7 linked regions of the Macaca fascicularis genome follow. The protein of the gene in region 3 interacts with the protein of the main gene of each other region in a pairwise test. Links are inferred from orthologs where the notes say so. Each region holds a gene or a part of one and is shown on either strand. Other genes may lie near its edges. The genes, in order: OTX1, FAM131C, GRN, SMAD9, C10H22orf39, NLK and NUFIP2.

What was found.
Region 1: the proteins of GRN (region 3) and OTX1 interact in binary tests that used the Homo sapiens proteins (3 or more experiments, as listed by UniProt). The two-hybrid records come from large-scale screens. The link is inferred for Macaca fascicularis from reciprocal best matches to the Homo sapiens genes GRN and OTX1.
Region 2: the proteins of GRN (region 3) and FAM131C interact in binary tests that used the Homo sapiens proteins (3 or more experiments, as listed by UniProt). The link is inferred for Macaca fascicularis from reciprocal best matches to the Homo sapiens genes GRN and FAM131C.
Region 4: the proteins of GRN (region 3) and SMAD9 interact in binary tests that used the Homo sapiens proteins (3 or more experiments, as listed by UniProt). The link is inferred for Macaca fascicularis from reciprocal best matches to the Homo sapiens genes GRN and SMAD9.
Region 5: the proteins of GRN (region 3) and C10H22orf39 interact in binary tests that used the Homo sapiens proteins (3 or more experiments, as listed by UniProt). The link is inferred for Macaca fascicularis from reciprocal best matches to the Homo sapiens genes GRN and C22orf39.
Region 6: the proteins of GRN (region 3) and NLK interact in binary tests that used the Homo sapiens proteins (3 or more experiments, as listed by UniProt). The two-hybrid records come from large-scale screens. The link is inferred for Macaca fascicularis from reciprocal best matches to the Homo sapiens genes GRN and NLK.
Region 7: the proteins of GRN (region 3) and NUFIP2 interact in binary tests that used the Homo sapiens proteins (3 or more experiments, as listed by UniProt). The link is inferred for Macaca fascicularis from reciprocal best matches to the Homo sapiens genes GRN and NUFIP2.

The regions. Positions count from the first base shown.
Region 1 is NC_088387.1:58,901,118-58,905,415, reverse strand, and holds the start of OTX1 (homeobox protein OTX1), read left to right. Parts: upstream 1-1,498; 5' UTR 1,499-1,566; intron 1,567-1,920; 5' UTR 1,921-1,989; intron 1,990-3,565; 5' UTR 3,566-3,674; coding exon 3,675-3,771; intron 3,772-4,298. UniProt on the Homo sapiens protein: Probably plays a role in the development of the brain and the sense organs. Can bind to the BCD target sequence (BTS): 5'-TCTAATCCC-3'.
Region 2 is NC_088375.1:219,039,419-219,042,918, forward strand, and holds part of FAM131C (protein FAM131C), read left to right. Parts: intron 1-2,062; coding exon 2,063-2,178; intron 2,179-3,327; coding exon 3,328-3,363; intron 3,364-3,500.
Region 3 is NC_088390.1:65,410,746-65,413,628, forward strand, and holds part of GRN (progranulin), read left to right. Parts: intron 1-1,323; 5' UTR 1,324-1,330; coding exon 1,331-1,468; intron 1,469-1,586; coding exon 1,587-1,712; intron 1,713-1,827; coding exon 1,828-1,912; intron 1,913-2,386; coding exon 2,387-2,499; intron 2,500-2,600; coding exon 2,601-2,736; intron 2,737-2,849; coding exon 2,850-2,883. UniProt on the Homo sapiens protein: Secreted protein that acts as a key regulator of lysosomal function and as a growth factor involved in inflammation, wound healing and cell proliferation. Regulates protein trafficking to lysosomes, and also the activity of lysosomal enzymes.
Region 4 is NC_088391.1:16,402,204-16,405,703, reverse strand, and holds part of SMAD9 (mothers against decapentaplegic homolog 9), read left to right. Parts: coding exon 1-158; intron 159-1,054; coding exon of another isoform or gene 1,055-1,093; exon of another isoform or gene 1,094-1,230; intron 1,231-3,500. UniProt on the Homo sapiens protein: Transcriptional modulator activated by BMP (bone morphogenetic proteins) type 1 receptor kinase. SMAD9 is a receptor-regulated SMAD (R-SMAD).
Region 5 is NC_088384.1:33,400,944-33,405,006, reverse strand, and holds the start of C10H22orf39 (synaptic plasticity regulator PANTS), read right to left. Parts: upstream 2,801-4,063; 5' UTR 2,776-2,800; coding exon 2,752-2,775; intron 2,636-2,751; coding exon 2,468-2,635; exon of another isoform or gene 2,086-2,467; intron 1-2,085. UniProt on the Homo sapiens protein: Negatively regulates long-term potentiation and modulates adult synaptic plasticity. Stabilizes the interaction of RTN4 isoform A/Nogo-A with its receptors, inhibiting clustering of postsynaptic AMPA receptors at synaptic sites.
Region 6 is NC_088390.1:33,624,123-33,627,622, reverse strand, and holds part of NLK (serine/threonine-protein kinase NLK), read right to left. Parts: intron 3,203-3,500; coding exon 2,993-3,202; intron 1-2,992. UniProt on the Homo sapiens protein: Serine/threonine-protein kinase that regulates a number of transcription factors with key roles in cell fate determination. Positive effector of the non-canonical Wnt signaling pathway, acting downstream of WNT5A, MAP3K7/TAK1 and HIPK2.
Region 7 is NC_088390.1:34,772,674-34,776,173, reverse strand, and holds part of NUFIP2 (FMR1-interacting protein NUFIP2), read left to right. Parts: intron 1-413; coding exon 414-2,138; intron 2,139-3,500. UniProt on the Homo sapiens protein: Binds RNA.

The sequences.
Region 1 (4,298 bases), on a different chromosome or scaffold from region 3:
CTAAGAAGATCTCCCGGGTCCTTTGAGAAGCAGTTAAGGAAACAGTGTGCCCTCCATCATATTCTGTTACCGTATTTTATTCGGACTCCAAAGGAAAGTGTCGCTTGGGGGAGGGGGAAGCACTTTGATGAGCGGCGGCCGCGGCCCCTTTTCACTCAGCGGGCTCCCCCTTCCTTCTCCTCCTCCTCACCCAGCGCCCTGTCTGCTCTCCGCGCCCGACCCCGCAGCCTGGGCAGCACGGGTGCTCCCCACTGCGATGCGCCTGGAGGCTCCTTGACTCGCCCTCACACTTACTCCTGTGCAAACTTTTTACCCCGCCTGTCGGGGTGGGGGAGTGGGGAGATTAGAAACAAGGGGTAGAAATTCCTCGAAAGGGAATAAAGTGCCTAATTTTCAGAAGGAGGTGCCATTTAAAAGATTCTCCTAGCTCAGAGTTGGAACGAAAACTCTTTTTTGCACTTTTAAAAGTCCACCCAGGCAGACGTGTTTGGGAAGTTTGTTCCACTGGGAAATGGGCTTCGCCCGTACGAACAATCCGGGGAAATCGCCTCAAGGAGGCTCCTTACGCAGCATGTGGAAAAAAGTTGAGGGCAGGGGTCTGTGGCCACATTTTCCATCAAAAAGTCCCTGTTAGAGGCAGACTAGGAAAGAGAGAGAAAGAATGAAAAAGAAACTTTCCTATCAAAATGTTTGAATTAAGAAGTAGGGTGTACATGTGAGGGCAAGAGGACGCTGGGCTCCAACGTTTCAGAAGAAGCGCTTAAGGCTTGCAAACACCCTTGGTGGGGACCGGGAACCCCGGGAGATGCCGATGAGCAGGTAAGTGGCTGTGCCCTCCCAGTGGGTGCTCTTCCCAGGCGCGAGAGTCCCGAGGCGCCGAGGAGAGATCTGCACGCCCGGAGCTGCTCCCGCGCTCTGCAAAGTAGCCTGCGCCGGCACGAGCCGCCCGCGGCGTCGGTCTCAGGTGGCGGTGCAGAGGAAGAAAACGCTGGGGCCCGCGGCGCCAGGAGAGGGGCCGAGGCCCGGGCTCCTCCAGCCCGCCGCCCCCGGGTCCTGGCGCCCACACCCGGGCGGCTGAGCCCGGTGGCGCGCAGGAGAGCGAAGGAACCGGTTCTCCAGCACCTCTCCTCGTCTCTGCCACTCCCTCCGGAGCGCCGAGAGCGCGAGAGAAGGGCGGGGGCGCCCAGGGAAGGCCTGGAGACCCGCGGCCCCCTCCGCGGCCAGGACTCGGGCTCTCCGCTCGCCTTCCTCGCCTAGCTCTGAGCCGCTTTTGCCAGCCGAGTCCCGGAGTTAGCGCGCGACCGGGGCGGGGCGGGCGGGAGGGGAGGGCGGGGTGTGGGGGGCGGGGGAGGGCGGGGGCGCGCGGAGGTAACCCCCGGCTCGCGCTGCCATTGCCCGGCTCCCTGTCACTCAGCCCGCGCGGGGCCCCCGATTGGCGGCCTAGCCCCGTTACGCACTCGCCTCGCGTTCACATACCCGGGGAGGGCAGTAGAAAGGTGATCAATCTTCATCAGGCTACATTTCCAATCACCTAAACAACCGAGCAAGACAAGCCACTCCGACAAGGTAAATCGCTTGATTTATTTAGTTTGCAAAGTGACTCTGCAGGACTTCCCAGTCCCCACTGCCTCCACGTTGCACCGGGAGTGCCGCGGTAACGCCGAGCCACCTCCCAACTCTGCCCTCGAATTCCCCCCCTTGCGGCCCCTCGGCGCGATTCCGGGCGAGGCAATGTCCTGCCTGAGAACGTGTGGGGCTTAGCAAACAAAGTGTCTGTGCAATAAAGTGAAACCCAGAGGGACACGCACAAAGCCACTGAAAAAAAAAGATAGAGGTGGGAGGAAGGAAGTTGGGAAAAGAAAGAAACCCGGGGTCCTAGACCAGCCGCCGGGGTAATTCCTGTGCCGCTCTGTTTTGCAGGTTGGCTGCCCGGCGGGTCTCTGTGAGAGATCCAGGTAGATGGTGAACGTCCCCGGCAGCTGAGGGCAGGTAAGGAGAAAGCCGCGGGACCATCCCGGACTCCGGGAGCGCGTTGGTTACCCTTACCTCCCCCTCCTCAAATGGATCCCCACTTCCCCGGTCACCAGCAGGTGGGCGGGGCTGGGGGAGCGGCCTAGCTCCCCTCTTGGTGAGCCGAGGACCCCGGGGCGCTGTCGCGGCCCGCCGCTCCCTCCCCCGCCTCCTCCGAAGTAACCAAGCTGAAGTGCTAAGTTTGGAGAAAGTCTTTGAAAACTCACGCTGCAGCTTCGCAAAGCCGTCGCAGCTTTGAGTCCCATTTTTCTTCGGCCCTAGAGCCCTGGCTGCTTCTCTTCTCGTCCCCTTCCTACAAGCTGGACTCCCTCAGCCCAGGTCTTGGATCCCAGAAGACCGGGGTGGGAACGGGGCAGGGGGGAGCTTCTTTAGCTCTAACTTCTCTCCCTGAACGTCCTAGCCCGAGTCCCTGGCCTGCTTCACAGCGATCCCGCTAAGCGGGGTGTAGCAATGGCCCCCCAGAGCCCCAGGCCCAGTTTCCAGCGCCCCTCCCTGACCCCTGAGAGTGCCGCCCCGGGTTCCCGGCAGCGGCGGGGGCGAGGCTTCCACCTCCCAGCTCGGGTCTGCGTGGGCTATGCCGCTGAGGCCTACTTCTCTGTTCTCGACCGTGTCCTGGGGCCGCGGGTTCAGCTACAAGGATGACAGCACGGGACTTGCTGCCCTCCGGCTTTGCAAATCCCCGAGACCCTTTGAGGTGCTAGGTCAGTCACCCTTCACCCCCTGCTGGGACCCTGTGGTCCGCAGCACAGACTGGACAGAGAAGGCCGGGTGCGCGCTGGCAACGAAGGACGCTGGCCGCAGCTGAGACGCTCCCGACCTCAGGCCGCGTCTTGGGGTCGCCCCCCTCTACAGTGGCCTCTTCGGCGTCCCCTGGCCCTCTGCGAGGCCTGGGCCGGTTACTGCGGTTGAGGTGTGGTGGGATTTCGCGTCAGCGATCTTTCAGTGGCTGGGCACAGAGAGGTCAGCTGGAATGGTGATTGCGGGCTCTGGGGCAGGGGCGCAGCCCTGGAGACCTTTGAAGGAACCAAGTGTCCTAAGTGGACAAGAGGTTGAGGTGCGGTTAGCCCTCCACATTGCCTCACCTTGGCCCTTTGTAGTCTCTACCTTTTCAAAAACACGTGAAACAAAATGAAACAACCCCTCATGCTCCGGGAGGCCTGCCGTCCGGGCACCAAGTGAACGTTTGCTTGTGCAACATGAAGCTGGCTTCTGCCGGATTCAGAATTTTGCCTGGACTTGGGAGCTTGCACACTCCGCGGTTCTTGCTCTGACCTCCCCAGCCTGGCCTGGCTTTGACTTCTCCTTACTCCTATGGACTCCCTACCAGTGTCTTTGGCTCATTCCAACGCTGGAGCCAGACGACCCAGAAAACTTTACTTTTCAAAGCAACTGTGGTTTCTGGGCTAAGGCCTTGTGGATTCCAGTTGACCACCCTGCGCAGTTCTGTAACCTGCCTTCCCTGTCTATCCCGGGGCAAGACTTGGCAGCCAAGTGGCTCCGATTGATGGTTTCCGTGTGTCTCGTGTCTTCATAGGCCAGGCCCCCAGACGCATCAGACCCTGAAGGACTGCGGTGGGAGCCCTGCACCGCTTCTGGCCCCAGGTCCCCTGGATCCGTCGGGGCGCCTCCACCCAGCTGTTAGCATGATGTCTTACCTCAAACAACCCCCATACGGCATGAACGGGCTGGGCCTGGCTGGGCCCGCCATGGACCTCCTGCACCCATCCGTGGGCTATCCGGGTGAGCACCAGCCCTCCCGACCCTGCTTCAGCCTCTCCAATGTTGGGGCCCCCCAGACTGTTGGGTTTGAGTGCAAGCTTTGTTGCCGAGCAGGCCCAGGGAGTCAGCTATTGCAATACAGGGCCCACTGCCTGTTTACAATACAGGGCCCACTGCTGGCGCACGGGGCAGAGTCGTGGGCATGTGAGGTGGCCAGGGCTGAGAAAACGCGCAATGTGCGCCTTCCTGGCCGGGTCACCGGCAACCTTTCTCCTGTTGTGGTCCCACCACCAGCGCAGAGCTCATTTACCTGCGGATTCGCTACCCAGGGGCGGCTAGTGTTTTTCCTTTTCCCCCAACATGGAATGAGTAATCTGGACACTCGTTAGGCCCTGACAGAAAGAGCCAAACTTTCCTTATGCGAAGCGGCAGGCTGGACTGAAGGAGTATTCTTCCTTCCTAATTAAATTGTCCTCTAAATTGATGTCCTGCATCCGTTTTTGCACTGCTGTAGAGGACGACCTGAGCCAAACCCGGGGTTCTTTAGC
Region 2 (3,500 bases), on a different chromosome or scaffold from region 3:
CCTCATCCTGCAGGGTACTCTGGAGGGTAAGTGAAGGGGAATTTTCTGATCCCAGACAAAGGAGTCCTGCACCTGGCAGTCATTGGCGTGGGGCTGCTCCAGGTGGGGCCAACAGAAATTTACCTAGGGCAGCCCCTGTAGAAAGAGCCACAGGTGGTGCCTCTTAGAAGCCATGCAGGGCATGGGGGCAAAAACAGGAAAAAGGAATCCAGGGGAATTGGGGGCAGCACCCACAGGGTCCCCTAACCCCAGTGATACAATCTGGCCTAGAGCATAAAGTCCCTCCGCTGGCGGGCAGCAAGTGAGCGCAGGGACCATTGTCTTCTAGGGAGGGAGGATGCCTGCAGCAGGGGAGCCCTGGGAGAAGGGAGCGGGGAGACCTGGGATAGACCTAGGAGAGGGCTAATAGGATTTGCCGGTTTACTGGGTGGTCCCTGGGAGAATGGGGGAAGGCAGGACCCTGAGAAACTCCTAGGGTTGTAGTTGGTGCAGTGGGGGACCCGGGGAAGGTAGACCTGGATTTGGGAGTCCTCTTTTGCCCAGGTGTGCTTGAGGTGCCCCTTGGGCATCCATGTAGAGAGCTGGAAACTCAGTTGGGAGCTCAAGTGAGGAGTCAGGGCTGGAGGTGTGCATATGGGCAGTGGGCAGCGGAAACACGAAGGTGAGGCCTCCTGGGTCTGAGAGAGGGTGGTGAAGGGCCAGGACGGAAGTGTGGTGCCAGCCAATGGGCAGGGGTGAGCCAGGGAGGAGTCACAGAGGGGACCCAGGACAGCAGCCAGAGAGGCCAGAGGCCAGGATAAGAGCGAGGCTCAAGAGGGCAGGCAGGCAGCACAGCTCTAGCTCCAAGAAGAGGCTGGAGCGGCCCCCACTGTAGTTGGCCCCATGGAGGTTCCTGGCAGCTTGGCAAGGGCTGCCTCATGAAAGCCTGCTTGGAATGGGTGGAGGAGAACTGGAGGACAAGGAAGTAGAGGTGGGACACAGCTCTCTGCACATCGCGAGAAGGGAGCAAAGGAACGGCTAAGTCGCTGGAGGGAAACAGTGGTCACAAGCTTCTCAAAAGACAGGAGATGCTGGGATGCTGATGGCCCCACCCAGTGGTAAGGGGACAGAGGAGTGAGAATGCAGGAGAAGGTCCAGAGCCCAAGAAGCATGGCAGCATATGCAGTGCTGGCTGAATGCTTCAAGGCGGACGGAGTGGAGAGAGCAGTAACTCCACAGGAGGGAGAGCAGAGCCCCTGAGGGGAGGGCAGGGGCAGGACCCAGCCCTGGGTGGATGGGCCAGAAGGTCCTGGGTGCAGCAGGAACAGCTCTTCCTTTGTTGCAGGAGGGAAAGGCGACGATGTGGGCAAAGGTGCAGGCGGGCTCTGGTGATTTGGGTGGAAAGATCCAGGTGACACCTTTCCAAGGATCCTGGACCCAGTGAGGGAGGGGCAGAAGCCCCCAGCAGTGTGTGGGGTAGGGGAGGGAGTGTGTTTCATGTCTGAGAAGGAAGGTTGGGGTGAAGTTGTCAGCCTGGCAGGAAACAAAGGCAGCAGGAAATGGAGAAACAGGGAAGGATCCGGGCAGCATCCCACAGGAGGCTGGGGCTACAATCTAGCACGTAGCAGTCACTCTCTCCAGCAACATTTAGCTCCTCAGATCCAGGCACAGGGCGAGAGGGTCAGACTTAAACCCAGGTGAGAGGTAAGGGCGTCTGCGAGAGAGAGCTCAGAGGCCGTGTCTGAGGGTCAGCTGGGCCAGGAGCAAAAGAGGAGCTAGTCGGGAAATACCAGGGCAAATGGATTAAACGTCTCCAAGAGGCCAAAAACATGCTGGAGTGTGGGTGCTAGAAATTGTGAAAAGGGGGTAAAAAGAAGATGAGGCCAGTGATTCCCGCTGAGGGGCACAGGCAGGAGGGCATCTGGCTGGACCCCTCCCCTGCTGTGGACTTGAGTCGGCTTCCTCTACAATGATGCTGGATAAAAATAAGGCCACACCCATCTTATGGGGGGGCCTTGAACACGCCTTGTAAGCAAGAGAGAGCTGGGCTTTGCTGAGTTCCTCCTCTTGCTCTTATTTCCAGACCTGTTCACAAGTGCCCACAAGGACTGCCCCATGCCCCAGGGCACGGACCCCTTGAACCCAGACCTGCCCTCGGGCCGCACTCCCACCATGGCTGTAGACCCTGTCACTGGCAAGGTAACTGGTTGCTCCTCATCCCTGTGCTGCCTGTGCCCCAGTTCCCGGCCTGTCCCTTACAGCTCCCCGCAGGGAGCAGAATCCATTCCAGTCTCCTTCCTTCCCTGCCAAACCCTCTTCTCCCTGTGGGACCAGGGGCCCTAAGGCCTGATATTCAGCAGCATGAGAGGCTGGACTGGGCTGAGCATCCAGGGGCTGGACCAGGCTTGTTTAGAAGACCGTCCATCCTGAAGGTCTTCCTGCACAAATTAACGCTGCCTTGCAGACAACACATTCTGCTACCAGCCCACTATTCCTGAGCAGCCTCACGAATGTTATATATGTTATGTAATATATATAATTATCTATTATAATTTAAAAAATCTATTATATTATATATAAGTATATATAAAATATAATATATAATATATAAGTATATATAAAATACAAATATATAATATATAAGTATATATAAAATATAAATATAATATATAATATATAATATATAAGTATATATAAAATATAAATATAAAAAATATATAATATATAAATATGTTATATATTATATATAAATTGTATATTATAATTTTTGTATACTATATTATATATAATTTATATGAATATAATTTATATATAATATATATTAAAATTTTACATATGTTTCTCAGTCCAGATTGATTTAGAAGATGTCACTAAGGATCACAAAGGACCCCAAATTCTGGTGCATAATTTCCACCCTTGCCTTAGGGTCTGTGGCATGAACCCACCAGTTGATGTAATTACCATCCCCCCACCAGCACACCCCTCCTGCTAAGCACCGCACTCAGCTCTCAGCTTCCATTATGTTATTTAGGCCTCACCACAACTCGTGAGGTGAATGACATTGCCACCATTTTGCAGAGGAAGAGACATGTTTGGCAAAGTCAGAGCCCACACCCAAGCCCGCTCTATAAGCTGCACCCGCTGCCTCTCCTCCCAGCACCACTGTTGCCCCCCCTTCTTACTCTGCATGCCGGGGGACACCAGAGCATGACCCATGAGAGGACAGACCCCGACCTCACGGAGCACCAGAAGGCTGACCCCCATCCCCGCCCAGGGCCGAAGGACTCGGGCCATCTGCCAGGACAGCGTGCCAGGCCCTACCTGATCCTCTCTCTCCTCTTGTTTTAGGACAAACAGATGGATTTCTGTTGGGATCCTTGGCAGGTCAGTGCACTGTGTGTCCCCTAGTCTAGCCAGCCCCAGCTGACATCCCCATCCCTCTATCCTTTGTGCCCAGCCCAGGCACACAGTCCTGCTGGCCCTGGGGGAGAGGAGTCTGATGAAACAGTGGGTGGGGGTGG
Region 3 (2,883 bases):
CAGGAGGATCGCTTGAACCTGGGAGGTGGAGGTTACAGTGAGCCGAGATCATGCCACTGAACTCTAGCATGGGCAACAGAGCAAGACTCCATCTCAAAAAAAAAAAAAAAAAAAAAGGGTGAGCAGGCTTGGTGGCACGCTCCCAAAGTCCCAGCTAATTGGGAGGCCAAGGTTGGAGGACTGCTTGATCCCAGGAGTTTGAGTCCAGCCTGGGCAACATAGCAATATCTCATCTCTAAAAATAAAAGTAAAGTAAAGGTATTAATTACTACTTTGGATGGTTGTTGCAAAGAAATAAAATAATGCAGAGTCTTGTAACTGGCTCCCAAGAGGCTCAACAGACATTACTGTTTTTGCTTCTTCAGGACGAGTTACCTCTCTGGCCACCCCACTGAGCTAGCTGGGCTAGATGAGCCTGGGAGAAGAGTTGTTTAGGAAGTGAGAGGCTGCTCTCCGCAGAAACTCAAGGCTCAGTTCCTCCTGGTGACTCAGATGGGCAGCCCAGTGGGCACACGTGGTCTCTCTCCACATGTGGCTGGGTTTTACTTCCAGAATAGATGGAGAGGCAGGGGTGGGGGTTAGCATGCTTGGGGAATCTCAGAGAGCCCTGGTGGTGTGGCGTACCCTCAGAACACAGGTATCTCAAAGGCTGACCCACCTTCTGTGTCCCCTTCCCTGGGTGAGGAGGGGACATTCATGGCCAGGTGGTGACTGGCCTCTGGGGAAGGCAGCCCAGATTCCACTGGCCACCATACTTCCTTTTTCACAACTTTCTCACCCCTGTGGTTTCCCATGTCATCATGTGGCCGCTTCCTGCAAGGCCTTAGTGGGGTGCAGGTATGAACACAGTGTCAGGCAAGGAGGCATCTGGAGGGGAACCCTGGCTTTTCCTGGGGGGCCTCCCTCCCTGCACCCCAGCCCTGTCCTCTCCCATGGCTACTGATGCCTTCCCCCCCACCCCAGAGGTGGCCCACATCTGCACAGATCAGACCAAAAAAAATCACGTCTTCGTGACTCTCATAAGCCTGCCCAGTGAGGCCCAGGCATTAGACCATGTGCTGGGGACTCAGGCCCACACATATACGCATGTCAGCATTCATGCTCACAGGTCTGCACGTGCTGGGGCATGTGTCACACACAGGGCTCTGTAGGAAGCTGACGCTCAGCCCCTGCAGCTTTCTGCCTGCCTGGACAGGGAGGTGTTGAGAAGGCTCAGGCAGTCCCGGGCCAGGACCTTGGCCTGGGACTGGGGTACTGAGTGGCCCTAGAATCAAGGGTGGCACGGGCTTAAGCAGTTGCCAGATGTTCCTTGGTACTTTGCAGGCAGACCATGTGGACCCTGGTGAGCTGGGTGGCCTTAACAGTAGGGCTGGTGGCTGGAACATGGTGCCCAGATGGTCAGTTCTGCCCTGTGGCCTGCTGCCTGGACCCCGGAGGAGCCAGCTACAGCTGCTGCAGTCCCCTTCTGGTGAGTGCCCCTCAGCCTAGGCAAAAGCTGGCAGGTTTTCCCAGAGGGTCATCTTGGATTGGCCAGAGGAGGATGCCAGGCACAAGTCTGTGGTGTATCATTTCCCCTGTCTTTCCAGGACAAATGGCCCACAACACTGAGCAGGCATCTGGGCGGCCCCTGCCAGGCTGGTGCGCACTGCTCTGCTGGCCACTCCTGCATCCTCACCGTCTCAGGGACTTCCCGTTGCTGCCCCTTCCCAGAGGTGAGCGTGCCATCAGCCCGATGGAGGGGCTTAGGTCTGCATTGATGCTTTTCCTGCAGTCTCCCACTTGCAGATAAAAGGGCCTTGCCAATGCCGGTTTCTCTGTGTCCTACAGGCCGTGGCGTGCGGGGATGGCCATCACTGCTGCCCACGGGGCTTCCACTGCAGTGCAGATGGGCAATCCTGCTTCCAAAGATCAGGTGCAGCCGGGATGTGGGTGCAGGGCAGACAGACGGGCAGCATGTAGAGCCTGGAACCCAGGAGCCCAGCTGGCGGGGCAGCCCCGATTCCTGCCCTCGTGCCCTCATTCATGTGGCATCTGTACTAAGCAACACCCCTGCTGTAGACAGAGGTGCAGCACTGGGGATAGGAGGGGCAGGAGAAAGTGCAAGACTCCAAGTCCAGGCATTGTGGGGGTGGGGAAAGGTAAAGCTGAGCCGATCTAATGCCAACCCATCATCAGTGGGTGCCCCTTCCCCATGCCATCTTGCTGAGGGAGGGACTGGATTGTGAGGAGGGTGAGTTAGGCATGCCTAGGAGATCACTGAGCCCTAGTGTCACCCCCAAACCCCAGTAGCTGGGCTTGCAGGCCCTGGTGCCACCAGCTCTGTGCGCGATGGGGCAGTCACCTTCCCTGAGTGGGCTGGTAGAATCCCGGGTCACCTTGTCCACAGGTAACAACTCCGTGGGTGCCGTCCAGTGCCCTGATAGTCATTTTGAATGCCCGGACCTCTCCACGTGCTGCGTTATGGTCGATGGCTCCTGGGGGTGCTGCCCCATGCCCCAGGTACAAATCTGGGGAGACGGGGGTACGTGGAGGGAGGTGGGGGCAGAGGGTGGGGGCCAGGGGCAAGGGGTGAAGACGGAGTCAGGACCATTTTTTCTCAGGCTTCCTGCTGTGAAGACAGGGTGCACTGCTGTCCGCATGGTGCCTTCTGCGACCTGGTTCACACCCGCTGCATCACACCCACGGGCACCCACCCACTGGCAAAGAAGATCCCTGCCCAGAGGAGTAACAGGGCAGGTGAGGAGGTGGGAGAGCATCAGGCCAGGGGCTGGGGTGGGGCCTCATTGACTCCAAGTGTGGCAAAAAGTTCCCTCCACCCTGGCTGCCCCTCACACTTGCTTCTCTTCCAGTGGCTTTGTCCAGCTCAGTCATGTGTCCGGATGC
Region 4 (3,500 bases), on a different chromosome or scaffold from region 3:
TCCACCCAGCCACCGTCTGCAAGATCCCCAGCGGCTGCAGCCTCAAGGTCTTCAACAACCAGCTCTTCGCTCAGCTCCTGGCCCAGTCAGTTCACCACGGCTTTGAAGTTGTGTATGAACTGACGAAGATGTGCACTATCCGGATGAGTTTTGTTAAGGTAAGGAGTGCTTGCTATCACATTATAAAATGTTCAGTGAAAAACAAAACAAAACAAAAAAGCACCCTGACTGATGTGGCAGTTCTGCGGTCAATTCAGATAGACAAAACCAATTTTTTTTTTTTTTTTTGAGACGGAGTTTCACTCTGTCACACAGGCTGGAGTGCAGTGGCATAATCTTGGCTCACTGTAACCTCCGCCTCCCGGATTCAAGCGACTCTCCTAACTCAGCCTCCCAACTAGCTGGGAGTACAGGCGTGCATTACCACGCTTGACTAATTTCTGTATTTTTAGTAGAGACAGGGTTTCACCATATTGGCCAGACTGGTCTTGAACTTCTGGCCTTGTGATCCGTCTGCCTCGGCCTCCCAAAGTGCTGGGATTACAGGTGTGAGCCACCGCGCCCAGCCCAAAAGCAATTTTTTTGAATTCTGTTGTTTTTAGGAGGAGTTCCTCTTTGAGTATAAACTGTCTTGTTTAGCAATTATATGAAAATTCTTACACATTACTTTTGAGGAAAAACAAGTAAGGTGGCTCTCTGTTTTTAATGCAGATGATAAAGTAACAACAGTAATTTTACAGGACTAGTGCAACAGAGATTTTTCCATCCTTCAAATTGCCAAGCACTATTATCACTCAGTGAGTGTTGGCGAATTTATCTGAATTCAGTAAGATACTCTCCTTACTCTTAGAAAGCATACAGGCACATGGAGGAGATAATATTTATGAATAAGCTACAAAATAGGCAGGATTGGTTCTAATACAAGACAGCAAATTAAGTAGTGTTATAAAGGTATAAACAATCTGGAATAGAAACATGAGGCGGGTGTGATTAATTCTGAGAGTAGTATATGTTCTGTTGATGAGTATTTGTTGAATTTCTCGAATCTTATTAGGGTTGCTATGAAGGCTGGAGAACCAAGGAAGTTTCTTAGTGGGAAGGAAAAACAACTGGGTTTGTATATGGAAGCAAAAGCCTTCAGTTTCATCACCTGCTATTTTATCTGTTGCAAAGTACTCGCAAATCAGTCTAATATTTCAAAATCTGGGCTCATCAAAGTATCCGGGTATGTGTGAGTTTTCATACTGCCATGCCTCCATCCAAGGAATCAGCATGGCTTGTTCCAGGCATTTTTTTCAAAGTAAATTTTATTAGCACTTTAAAATTACCATGACAAAGAATTTTTCTACACTCAAATTTTGTTTTTATTGTTTATAATTTTAGTAATTATTTAAAAACTAAGAACAATATAGTTTCCAATTTTAAAAAACAGCTGCTTGAAATTATTTCTCTTTCATGGTGACAAAGCAGTTTCATCCAAATTTAGTGTTTTAAAAGCATCTATTATAAAGTTATATTAACAAATAACTTGGAAATCTTTTTAAATGTTCTGTTGCTTTAGAAACGGCAGAGGGCATCATTTGAATCATACAGTTTTTTTTTTTCCAGGTCTGTGTTTTTAAAATTAGGATGAAATGCCAATATCTCATAGGTAATTATTTCACTCTAATTAAATATAAGCTTATATACAAATCTGATTTTCCTGATAACTAGATACATTTCTCAGATAGGCAACATTTAAATTCATAAAGCTACACAATTGACACAGAAGACAAACCTGTTCCTAATACTGCAGGAACTTTTAAAATAAATACATAGTAAATATAACTATAGATCATTTTTTTAAACATTTGAGATGAGCAACTGTAGCTACCACTGGGCTAATGGATCAGATCTCTTTAAGGTTTCTTTCAGCTCTGATTTTTACCGATTCTAGGACTCATTCAGTCAGTCAACAAATATTTATTGAGCACCTACCATGTGCAGCCAGGCGTGTGGGACATAGCAATGTTCACTCACAGATCTCTGCCCTCAGGGAACCAATATTCTAGGAAGGAGAGAGAGATAATACACAACAGCCATAACACAGAAGAAGGATGGAAAGAGAAAGTGTGGGGCAGGGTGAAGGGAATTGGAGCACGGGGGCAGTGGAGTCATCTGCACATCAGGGTGGGCCTCACTGAAAAGGTGACAGGTCAGCAGAGACTGGAAGGAGACATGGAGCTAGGCCCAGGGACTTCTGGAGGAAGAGTAGAAGCAGAGGGAAGAGCAAGGCAACAGCGTACACCTGGAAATTCTGAAGAGCAGGCAGGCCAGTGTGGCTGGGGCCTAATAAGCAGGGGGAGCGAGATGAGAGCAGCTGCAGGGAACCACAGCGAGGCCTCCTGAGCCACTCCTTGGAGTTTATCGGTGGCTCTCAGGAGGTGGCGAGCTTTTGCAGGGATCGGAGCAGAGCATTTTCATGATCTGACTTCTGTTCTTAAAGGATCGCCCTGCCTGCAGTGTGGAGGATAGGTATTACACAGACAAGGTTGCAAGTAGGGAAACCAGTTAGGAGGCTATTGCAATATTCAGATGAGAGTCGCCCTCACCTGGAGGGATCCAGTACAGCTGTGAGAAGTGGAAGGATTCTGAATTGTGAAGGCGGATGAGGCGTGGGGGTGAGAAAAAGAGGAAGATGAAGTTAGTTGCCTTCAATCAAGATGAAGATGCAGGTGTATTGAGATGTCTGTCCACATTCAAGTGGAGTTGCTGAGTAGCCAGTTCGATGTAAGAGTCTGGATTTGGGGAAAGAGATTTGGGCCCGAAATACAAGTTTGGGAATTGTCAGCAAAGGGACAGTATTTAACTCCCTAAGTCTGGATGAGAACACCAAAGGTTTGAGTTTAAACAGAAGGGCCAGGAGTGGTGGCTCACGCCTGTAATCTCAGCACTTTGGGAGGCTAAGGTGGGTGGATTGTTTGAGGTCAGGAGTTCAAGACCAGCCTGGCCATCGTGGCAAAACCGCATCTCTACTAAAAATACAAAAATTATCCAGGTGTGGTGGCGCATGCCTGTAATCTCAGCTACTTGGGAGGCTGAGGCAGGAGAATCACTTGAACCTGGGAGGCAGAGGTTGCAGTGAGCCGAGATCGCACCATTGCACTCCAGCCTGTGTGATAGCCAGATTCCGTCTCAAAAGTAATAATAATAATAATAAATAGTAAATAAAAATAGAGAAGAAAGGGGGCTCCAGGACCGAGCCCTGGGACACTTCAACATTAAAGATGGGACAGAAGGGACAGAATCAGCAAAGAAAACTGAGAGACCAGCCAGTGAAGTAGTAATAAGACCAAGAAGTGTGGTGCTTTGGAAGCCAAGAAAAAACAGTGCATTGATGAGAGGGTGTGATGAACTAAATCAAATGCTACCCACGTAACACAAAGGCTGAGAGCTAATAATTCATTTTTACAATATGAAGGCCTTTTTTGATCTTGACAAGAAAAGTTTTGTTGGCGGCT
Region 5 (4,063 bases), on a different chromosome or scaffold from region 3:
TCTAGCTACTGTATCCCAATACAGACACGGGTCAGTGTATCACAACACGGGAGACCTTCGCTGTGGGCCCTTGGTAAGTATCAGGTGCTATGTGAGCCTCTTTACACAGATCATTTAATCTGTCTACGTCTGTCTTTGTTCAAGCTCTGTTGCCTCAAATAAAATATTTTGATCATGTTTAAAAAGCTATCAGAAATGTAGCACAGACTATTAAATATTCCCAAATGTCCATTCCCAATGTGGCAGTTAACAGCTTCCCTGATACCGTTTTTTGGTCCAAATTTTAGAGCTAACATGTTTCCCTAATGATGAGATAATCTTCTGCTGGCTAGTCTACTTCCTGCTTTTTTTTTCACTAAACAATACACTGTAGGCACTTTCCCACACCCAGGTAGATGACTGACTATTCCTTTCAAAGGCTATCCGGTATTTCACTTTGTGGAAAAAGCTAATTGGTCAAATGTCTATTAGTGAAATTTAGGTTGTTTTCAGCTTTTGCAGTATCAAAAACATAATTAGCATTCCGAACTTTTAACTGTACACTCTTATCCAATTACTTCCCTAGGATAAAGTTCCAGAAGTAAAACTTAAAGTCAAAAGGTATGCATCTGACATTTACATAATCAGAACACCCGACACCCCCACCAACACTGTACAACTACCCAGAATTCTTCAAACCCCCATCAACACTTAACGACTTTCTGCTGGGCAAAACCTGCTGTTACTGTCATTTAGACTTATATACCTGACACCTGGCCATTTGGTTTTTTTCTTTTTTGTTTGTGAGATGGAGTCTTACTGTACTGTTGGCCCAGGCTGAAGTGCAGTGACACGATCAACTCATTGCAACTTCTACCTCCCAGGTTTAAGCAATTCTCCTGTCTCAGCCTCCCGAGTAGCTGGGATTACAGGTGTGTGCCACCATCCGTGGCTAATTTTCATATTTTTAGTAGAGATCGAGTTTTGCCATGTTGCCAGGCTGGTCTCGAACTCCTGACCTCAGGTGATCTGCCCACCTTGGCCTCCCAAAGTGCTAGGATTACAGGCGTGAGCCAACCACGCCCAGGCTTTTTTTTTTTCTTTTTTATTATTTTTATAAAGATGGAGTCTTACCACGTTGCCCATGGCTGGTCTCAAGCTCCTGGGCTCAAGCGATCCCCTTGCCTTGGCCTCCCAAAGTGCTGAGATTACAGGTGCCCACCACCATGCCCACCTGGCTTTCTTTTTTAATGAATTGCTTCTTTGTGTCCTTTGGCCATTTTTCCATTCTGAAATAATCCCTATATTTCTTATTGATATATAAGAGCTCTTTATACACACACGCGCAGATATACATACATTAAAATTATCAATCTCTTGCTATACAGGCTGTCAGCTTTCTTACTTTTTTTGAGTTTCACATATTATGGAATAGTCATAATTTTCTTTTATACAGCAGTCTGGTTTCCACATCAGTTCATGTCTTTCAGATCACTGTATACACTTAACAATGTTGAAGTGTTGATCAGTCCCATTGATTCTCATTCCTTGGCACTCCCCATGAGCCTTGCACCTTTCGGCTGGCTTCTCTCCATCTCCTCTCTCACAAGGGGTCCACCGTAGGACTGTATATTCTAGACTACAGTGTGGGTGCCAGGAGGGCAGAGCCTCTTCTTATCACTCGTGCATCCCCAAGAGTACCCAATGTAGTACATATTTGCTGGATGAATAAACAACTAGAACCACCTCCTTACCGATCTCTCTGCTCCTGTAAAATACTCTCTACACCCTAGCAAACAGATTGAACTTTTTTCCTCTTTTTTTTTTTTTTTTCCTGAGACAGGTCTCCCTCTGTTGCCCAGGCTGGTGTGCAGTGGCGTGACCATAGCTCACTGCAGCTCTGAACTCCTGGGCTTAGGCGATCCTCCCACCTCACTCTCCCAAGTAGCTGGAACCACAGGTGCACGTCACCACACTTTGCTAACAGACTGATCTGTTAAAGATATAAATCGAATTATGCTTCCCAGCACACTTTAGACTAAACTCTGAACTCCGTATCAAGGCCCACCAGGTCCCTGGTATACCGCTTTCCAACCATCCACCTACCCTCTGCTTCAGGAACACAGGCCTTCTCTGTTTCTCAGCAGTGTCTACCGGGGCTGGATGAAGGCTGGCTCCTGGTCACCCAGGACTCAGCAACATCATATCCTGCGTAGGCCAGCTGATGACCCTAACATTGGACGGTTGCCCTCTTTGCTCTCTAAACCACTCTACACCCTCCTCGCTGGTCTCCTTAGTTGTCTTTCACGCCCCCTGAAAGTCCTGTTGATATGCTAATTTATACCAACTCTCAAAAGAAAGGAAGCGTGAGGAGGGTAGGGACCTTGACAGTTCTCGGCTAGGTCGCGGGGCCTGGGGCGTGAAGGGGTGGGGAAAGCTGGGCCCTGCAAGGCGCTCCGAAGCGCCGCCCCGCTCCCTCCCGGCGCACCTGGGCCTCGGCGCTCCGGCGCTTCTCCCAGTCGCGGCAGCTGGCCAGGTCGCGCCGCCACTGTTCGCAGGCCGGCCGCTCGCCGTGGACGTAGTAGTGGTGCAGGAAGTGCCTGGCGCTGCGGCAGAGCTTCCACTCGGCGCGGTAGGCCTCGCAGGGGCGCGGCGGCTGCGGCGAGAGGCGGCGCCTGAGTGGGGGCCGGCGGCCGCGCCCCACGCCCGGAGCCTGTCCCGTTCCCTCCCTCCGGAAGACCCTGGTGGTTCCCGGCTCCCGAGCACACTCACCTGCCAGCCGCTGCCGTCCGCCATGTCTGGGCGACCGGGGCGCCAAGCCAGCCCCTCAGTCCGCCAGCCAATGAAGAATGAAGAAAGCGGCACCTCGTGATCGACTGAAAGAATAACTAATAAGCACCGACACATTCAATTACAGTTTCGCCCCCATCTTAGAGAAGCTCGGACAAACAGGACGAGCAACCAATAGCAACCGAGGGCGGCTGCGGCGCGCGGAGGGCCAGGGTCGCAGGGTAAGTCCGGGACGAGGCCTGGCGCGGAGCCTACTCGGCCACCGCGAAGCCAGCGCCATTCACCCCGGGCCATGAGGGCATCCTGGGCCGCGCAGCTACCTTTTGCCAGTCGCCTCTAAAATCACACTGCTCTGGCCAGTTCTTTTTAGCAGCTTTATGAGATTTTCTCAAATCTCAACAATGCGGTTTATTTTCAAAAGTATGTACTGAGCATCAAGTTGGTGCAGCGAACCTCCCAGATCTGCAGCTCTGGCGGTCTTGTCTGAGCGTCCACTCAGGATGGAGGTGAACTCACAAAGTAACCAAGGTTGGTTGGGCATGACGTGTGGTGGATCTAGGGTTGGATGACCTGCCCAGGGAACGCAGGCTTGAAGTGGAGGCTGAGAAGGCAATCCGAGCACGGCCATAGGCCGGTCAAAGGCATGGAGGCGGTGTGTAGCACGGGTGAGTGGGGTAGGAGTGGCTTGGATGTCTGTAGCTCGATTCTAAGGGTGCGGGAGACATGTAACATTTACCTTATTTATTTTTCGAGACAGGGTCTTGCTGTGTCACCCAGGCTTACGTGCGACCTCGAACTCCAGGACTTTGAACAGCTGGGACCACAAGCATGCACCGCCTCACCAGGCTAATTTTTAGTTTTTTTTTTGTTTTTTTTTTTTTTTTTTTTTTTTTTTGGTAAAGATGTGGTCTTGCTAAGTTACTCAGGCTAGTTTGGCCTCAAGCGATCCTCTCACTTTGGCCTCCCAAAGTGCTAGGATTATAGGCTGAGCGACAACGCCTGGCTGCAACGTTTATAAAAAGGAGCAATGCACAAGAGGCAACAAAGGCAAGTAAAGGGGAAGCTGGTGGGCTTGCAGAAGTGCCCACTGGGACAGACTCCCTGGAGGTGGGTCAGAAAGCTGCAGTTTTACCACGGGTCCTGCTGTTGAGGCAGCTGGCTCAAGGACCAAGCCCAAAGAAGACACTGGGAGGAAGGCTGCAGGCCAGGGTGCAGGAGTAACGACCAGAATCAGTGCTCCAACTGGCCCCACTAAAAGGCCCTGGAATGGAATCCATCCTGGTCCAGGCAGGGG
Region 6 (3,500 bases), about 32 Mb from region 3:
AACATTCACACCTGAAATGAAAGCTAAGCTCTCCATGCTTGGGCCAGTGTACATCCTTTACATTCTAGTCATGCTAGAAATCTCTTACACTGCCAGAAAACTGTGATACTTAGAAAATATGACACTGCATAAGACCGCATTTAGTCAGCTGGACACAATAAAAGAGACCAATAAAACAGTCTTCTTGCAAACAAGTCTTTGGGTAGCAAACTATCTTACCAATTTTCTGTAGTGTCACAATTGTTCTAACTTCATAACTAATTATCAGTAACATTTCATTTGGATTCCTCCAGGATGGGAAATTCTTACCTAGAGAACACTTCTTTTCCTGGTTCTGGGCATGCCGAATATAAAGCACTATTTATCTAAACCATGGGGTAGCCATCAGCATCACCACCCTACAGGTTAATGGAGAAACTTGAGAAGCTTGCTTTCCACAGAAGTAAAGATCTCTATACAAAGCTTTTTGGGAAAAGTACGTAGGTGATACTTTTGGATCTCTAATAACCACACTAAAGGCAGAAGGAAATGACTAGCTTCTAAAAACAAATTGAAACATTCAGAAAGTTGTCTAAAATGGGTCAGATCCATAGATGAGAAACACTTTTATGATGTCTGTTAGTATTGGGTAATTAAATCTCAAAGATACAGAGAAAATACAACAGGAAATAATGACTTCCATTAGAAGTTAGAGCCTTTTCCTATTTTAGATCTTCATTTCTCACCCCAGCACACACCAACAATTAGACAGACATGAATTCTCCTGTAGTGGCTATGTCAGACTGCCAAACTGAAGATCTATGTATTTCTCTAGCAAATGAGATATCTGAACTCCAGTCCAGTTGCTTCACACTTTCCCTCACATATTTTTTGCAGCAGCAATTCAAGATTCTTGTTCCATATATAGGATTTGAATACCTCATTATTATTTTTTACTTAAGCTTTTCTGTATGCAAGGTAGTAGTCACATTCATTTTATGACAGCTTATGTCCAGATATGAGAGTCTTATAGGTTAAGTCTGTTAAACTTTACTTTCTAAAGAAATTGAAAAGTGAATATTGTCAATAGTACCCAACATTAGATGACATATTATATGTACATAATTTTTTAACACCAGAATCAATTTTTAAGATGTAAAATGTAAAAAAGACAGTTTGAATGTATAGCATAGAAAAATTTAAATGTTGATAAAAGCAGATATAGTTTCTAACCTATTAGGTAAAAATTCTTTGTAGAAAAAGCATAAAAGAAATAATTCTGTTTGGTCAAGTGCATGAATTATTTACAAAGACACAGTAGTCAGTGTGATCTTTTAAAATGTCATTAATCAAATCTTAATATTCCTATGGTCAAAACCTTCATTTACGTTTTCTATCACACTTGGAATAAAATCTTAAGGCCTTATCATGTCATCATGGCCAGGTTCTTTCTCACTTTCTGACCTCATCTCCTACAGCGTCTTCCATCACATGCCATCCCTCCAACATGCCATGCTTGTTTCTGCCTCAGGGGCTTTGTTATGGTGGTTGTCCCTCTTCTTGTAACTTCTTCAGCATCTTGCTGCCTCATTTTATGTGGGTGAAATGTTATCTCCTCAGAGAATCCTTTAGTGCCTGCTCTGCTCTGCCACCATTCTCTATCCCTAACCTGGCTACATTTTTCTTTATGGAACTTCCATTACTTGGGATCATATTTATTTGCATACTTATTTTTGTCTCATGTGAAAGTTTCACAAAGGTTAAGAACAACGCTGTCTTATTTACTGCTGTATCCCCAGCGTCCTGGCACACTACTACCACTATCATAATTGCAAACATTTACAGAGTGCTTACTATGTGCCAGGCCCCATTTTCAGCTTTCCTGCTTCATTGTACAATAATCCTCAGAACAGTTTTAGGGGCCAAAAAACCAAAAAAAAAAAATAGAAGAAGAAAAAAAAAAGGAAGAGAGAGGTTAAGTAACTTACTCAAGATTTAACATAAGTGGTGTAGCTAGGATTTGAACCCACCAATCTGAGCTCATGGTTACTACATTATTTTCATGCAAGCGAATTAATAAAAATACCTAGTAATTATCCCAAGAAAATATGCGTAGTAGTGAATAATTACCTTTAAAGACAATTAAAGTAACATGTAGCTAACAAAGTAGCTTCTAAAGGATTCTCTGAGAGTATATTTTAATCATCTCCTGATGTTCTCTGCCATATTTAGATATTTTAGTCCAATAATAAAAGTTAGAAATTTTCCTAAATGTTCAGATTTCAAGAAATCAACACAATAAAAATTTACATTCTAAGCACAAAGTGTAAGTACATTAAGTCACCAATACATTTTCAAGTCAGAGCCATTCACTTAGAAGGAAAAGAGGCCTTCTAACAACTGAAGATTATGCCTGTGCAAATTGTCACAGCAGAGCTCGCGGCTATGCATCAGTGCATATAATAATGTCAACAGGCCGGGTGCGGTGGCTCATGCTTGTAATCCCAGCACTTTGGGAGGCTGAGGCAGGTGGATCACCTGAGGTCAGGAGTTCGAGACCAGCCTGGCCAACACGGCAAAATCCTGTCTCTACTAAAAATACAAAAACTAGCCAGGTGTGGTGGAGCGCGCCTGTAATCTCAGCTACTTGGGAGGCTGAGGCAGGAGAATCGCTTGACCCTGGCAGGTGGAGGTTGCAGTGAGCCAAGATGGCACCATTGCACTCCAGCCTGGGCCACAAGAGCAAAACTCTGTCTCAAAAAATAAATAAATAAATAAAATAATAATTATAATAAATAAATAAAGTCAATACACACTCTAAAGGCTCATAAGTTACAAAATGAATCTCTCTGTAATCTTCAACTTTTATAACTTTCTAAATTTTAAGTGAACCTGAATTTCCTAAAAGCAAATTAGACAGTATAATGAATAAGCCCAAGACACATGTGCAGGATGGATTTTTCCTTCAAATCTGTAATAGAATTGAAACTAAAGCCTTAAATTGAAATCATACCTGCTGAATGGGACTCTGTGCCTGAAACAATATTCTTCGTCCTAGTAGTTCTGCAAAGATACATCCCACAGACCAGATGTCAATAGCATTGCTGTAATGACGGCTGCCCATCAGGATTTCCGGAGCCCGGTAATACTGAGTAACAACTTCCTGAGTCATATGACGGGATTCATCTAATTCTTCCACTCTGGCCAATCCAAAATCACAAATCTAAACAGAAAAGGCAGTCAAAACATTGTCAAGCAAATACAAATGAAAGAGTAAAACAAAACATCAAAACCTTGATAGGGCACTGAACTTTGAAACTTTTTTTTTGAGACGGAGTCTTACTCTGTCACCCAGGCTGGAGGCACAATCTCAGCTCACTGCAACCTCCGCTTCCCGGGTTCAAGGGATTCTCCTGCCTCAGCCTCCCAAATAGCTGGGACTACAGGTGCCCGCCACCACACCTGGCTATTTTTTTTTTTTTTTTTTGTATATTTAGTAGAGAAGGGGTTTAACCATATTG
Region 7 (3,500 bases), about 31 Mb from region 3:
CAGTGAACTGAGATCATGCCACTGCACTCCAGCCTGGGCGACAGAGCGAGACTCTGTCTCAAAAAAAAGAAAATTTTATAACAGCCTTGTGAGAGTGATGGGTAGATTGATTTTGTTAGATGAGAGGTATTTGGCATACTGCTTAAGAGGTCTTTTTTTCTGGCCTCAGACTTTGCTTTGAATTTTGGCTCAGTTCTACCTCTTGCTTTGCTTAGCAGTAGATTGCATTTCCTAGTCTGTGAAATGGGGCTGACAAGTGTCTTCTCATAGAGATGTGAAATAATATAAAGCTACAGTTCATAGCATAGTGTCTAGCATACAGTAAATAAACATTTCTTAAATGTTAGGTATTAGTGTAATTTACATGTTGTGATTTTTTTTTTTTTAATAAACCGTTTTTTTCCCTCCCCTAGGCTATGGTGAACTAAACGGTAATGCTGGAGAAAGAGAAATCTCTTTAAAGAACCTGAGTTCTGATGAAGCCACCAACCCTATTTCCAGGGTCCTCAATGGCAACCAGCAAATTGTAGACACTAGCCTGAAGCAGACTGTAAAGGCCAACACCTTTGGGAAAGCAGGAATTAAAACCAAGAATTACATTCAGAAAAACAGTATGGACAAAAAGAATGGAAAGTCTTATGAAAATAAATCTGGAGAGAACCAGTCTGTAGATAAGTCTGATACTATACCAATTCCAAATGGTGTGGTAACAAATAATTCTGGCTATATTACTAATGGTTATATGGGTAAAGGAGCAGATAATGATGGTAGTGGATCTGAGAGTGGATATACAACTCCTAAAAAAAGGAAAGCTAGGCGCAATAGTGCTAAGGGTTGTGAAAACCTTAATATAGTACAGGACAAAATAATGCAACAAGAGACCACTGTCCCAACCTTAAAACAGGGACTTGAAACTTTCAAGCCTGACTATAGTGAACAAAAGGGAAATCGAGTAGATGGTTCGAAGCCCATTTGGAAGTATGAAACTGGGCCTGGAGGAACAAGTCGAGGAAAACCTGCTGTGGGTGATATGCTTCGGAAAAGCTCAGATAGTAAACCTGGTGTGAGCAGCAAAAAGTTTGATGATCGGCCCAAAGGAAAGCATGCTTCAGCTGTTGCCTCCAAAGAGGACTCATGGACCCTATTTAAACCACCCCCAGTTTTTCCAGTGGACAATAGCAGTGCTAAAATAGTTCCTAAAATAAGTTATGCAAGCAAAGTTAAGGAAAACCTCAACAAAACTATACAAAACTCTTCTGTGTCACCAACTTCATCTTCATCATCATCATCATCTACTGGGGAAACTCAGACCCAGTCATCAAGTCGCTTGTCCCAGGTCCCTATGTCAGCGCTGAAATCTGTTACTTCTGCCAACTTTTCTAATGGGCCTGTTTTAGCAGGAACTGATGCAAATGTTTATCCTCCAGGGGGTCAGCCACTGCTAACTACTGCTGCTAATACTCTAACACCCGTCTCTTCTGGGACAGATTCAGTTCTCCAGGACATGAGTCTAACTTCAGCAGCTGTTGAACAAATTAAGACTAGCCTTTTTATCTATCCTTCAAATATGCAAACTATGCTGTTGAGCACAGCACAAGTGGATCTGCCCTCTCAGACAGATCAGCAAAACCTGGGGGATATCTTCCAGAATCAGTGGGGTTTATCATTTATAAATGAGCCCAGTGCTGGCCCTGAGACTGTTATTGGGAAGTCATCAGAGCATAAAGTGATGGAGGTGACATTTCAAGGAGAATATCCTGCCACTTTGGTTTCACAGGGTGCTGAAATAATTCCCTCAGGAACTGAGCATCCTGTGTTTCCCAAGGCTTATGAGCTGGAGAAACGGACTAGTCCTCAAGTTCTGGGTAGCATTCTAAAATCTGGGACTACTAGTGAGAGTGGAGCCTTATCCTTGGAACCCAGTCATATAGGTGACCTGCAGAAAGCAGACACCAGTAGTCAAGGTGCTTTAGTGTTTCTCTCAAAGGACTACGAGATAGAAAATCAAAATCCTCTGGCCTCTCCTACGAACACTTTGTTAGGCTCTGCCAAAGAACAGAGATACCAGAGAGGCCTAGAAAGGAATGATAGCTGGGGTTCATTTGACCTGAGGGCTGCTATTGTATATCACACTAAAGGTAACTCATTTGTTTCCTATGCAAAGATTTTTATTGGCCAATTTAGTATATTTATATTAAGAATTTTAAGAGAATTAGTTGTTCATATTAAGAGTATTTTAAGAGAATGACAATGTGGATAAGCAACTAACATCAAACTGATTCAGGGTCTTTGGAACTAGTATGATTAAAACTTAGAAGAAATGTTCACTTTTCCAACTTAAAATGGTTTTTAAAAATACAAACATAATTGATCTACCTGGTTCAAAGAAGTGAGGAGAACTTGCTTAAAGGTGTTGATGTTATATTTTCTTTTGACCGAGTGCTTTAAAAAAAATTTTATTGAACATATGTTCTCTTTCCTTTGCTTTTTTGTTTCTCCTTTGCTTGTTTGTTTGTTTTTTCTTTGAGAGGGAGTCTCACTCTGTTGCCAGGCTGGAGTGCAGTGGTGTAATCCCGGCTCACTGCAACCTCCACCTCCCAGGTTCAAGCGATTCTCCTTCCTCAGTCTCCTGAGTCGCTGAGATTACAGGCACGTGTCACCACGCCCGGCTAGTTTTTGTATTTTTAGTAGAGATGGGGTTTCACCGTGTTGGCAGGATGGTCTCAATCTCTTGACCTTGTGATCCACCTGCCTTGGCCTCCCAAAGTGCTGGGATTACAGGTGTGAGCCACCGCGCCCAGCTTCTTGTTTGTTTTTGAGACGGAGTCTTTCTTGCCCAGGCTGGAGTGCAGTGGTGGGATCTCGGCTCACCGCAGCCTCTGCCTCCTGGGTTCAAGTGATTTTCCTGCCTCAGCCTCCCGAGTAGCTGGGATTACAGCCATGTGCCACCATGCCCAGCTTATTTTTGTATTTTTAGGAGAGACTGGTTTCACCATGGTGGCCAGGCTGGTCTCAAACTCCTGACCTCGTGATCTGCCTCCCTCTGCTTCCCAAAGTGCTGGGATTACAGGTGTGAGCCACTGCGCCCAGCTTCTCCTTTGCTTTTTGTATCATATGCTTCTTTATTAGTGAGCTCATTTAGTAGTTCTAATTTGCTTAAAATGAGTAGAAGCACTATTTTTGAAGAGGAGTCTGATAAGTCTTAAAAGGAGTAATGGATGCCAATTTGTAACTAGAAAATAAGTTAGACAAATTACAATGTCAAGCATGATAAGCATAGTCAAGACCAGGCTCTTGGGAGTCTCCTTTTTATAGCCCCAAAGCCCAAGTTTAAAGGGAACGAGATATCTTTCAAGTTTCACGCTAGTAACTCTCTTTCTTTTCTTTTTTTTTTTTTGAGATGGAGTCTCTTGTCGCCCAGGCTGGAGTTCGGTGGCGTGATCTTGACTCACTGCAACCTCTGCCTCCCGGGTTCAAGCGATTCTCCTGCCTCAGCCTCG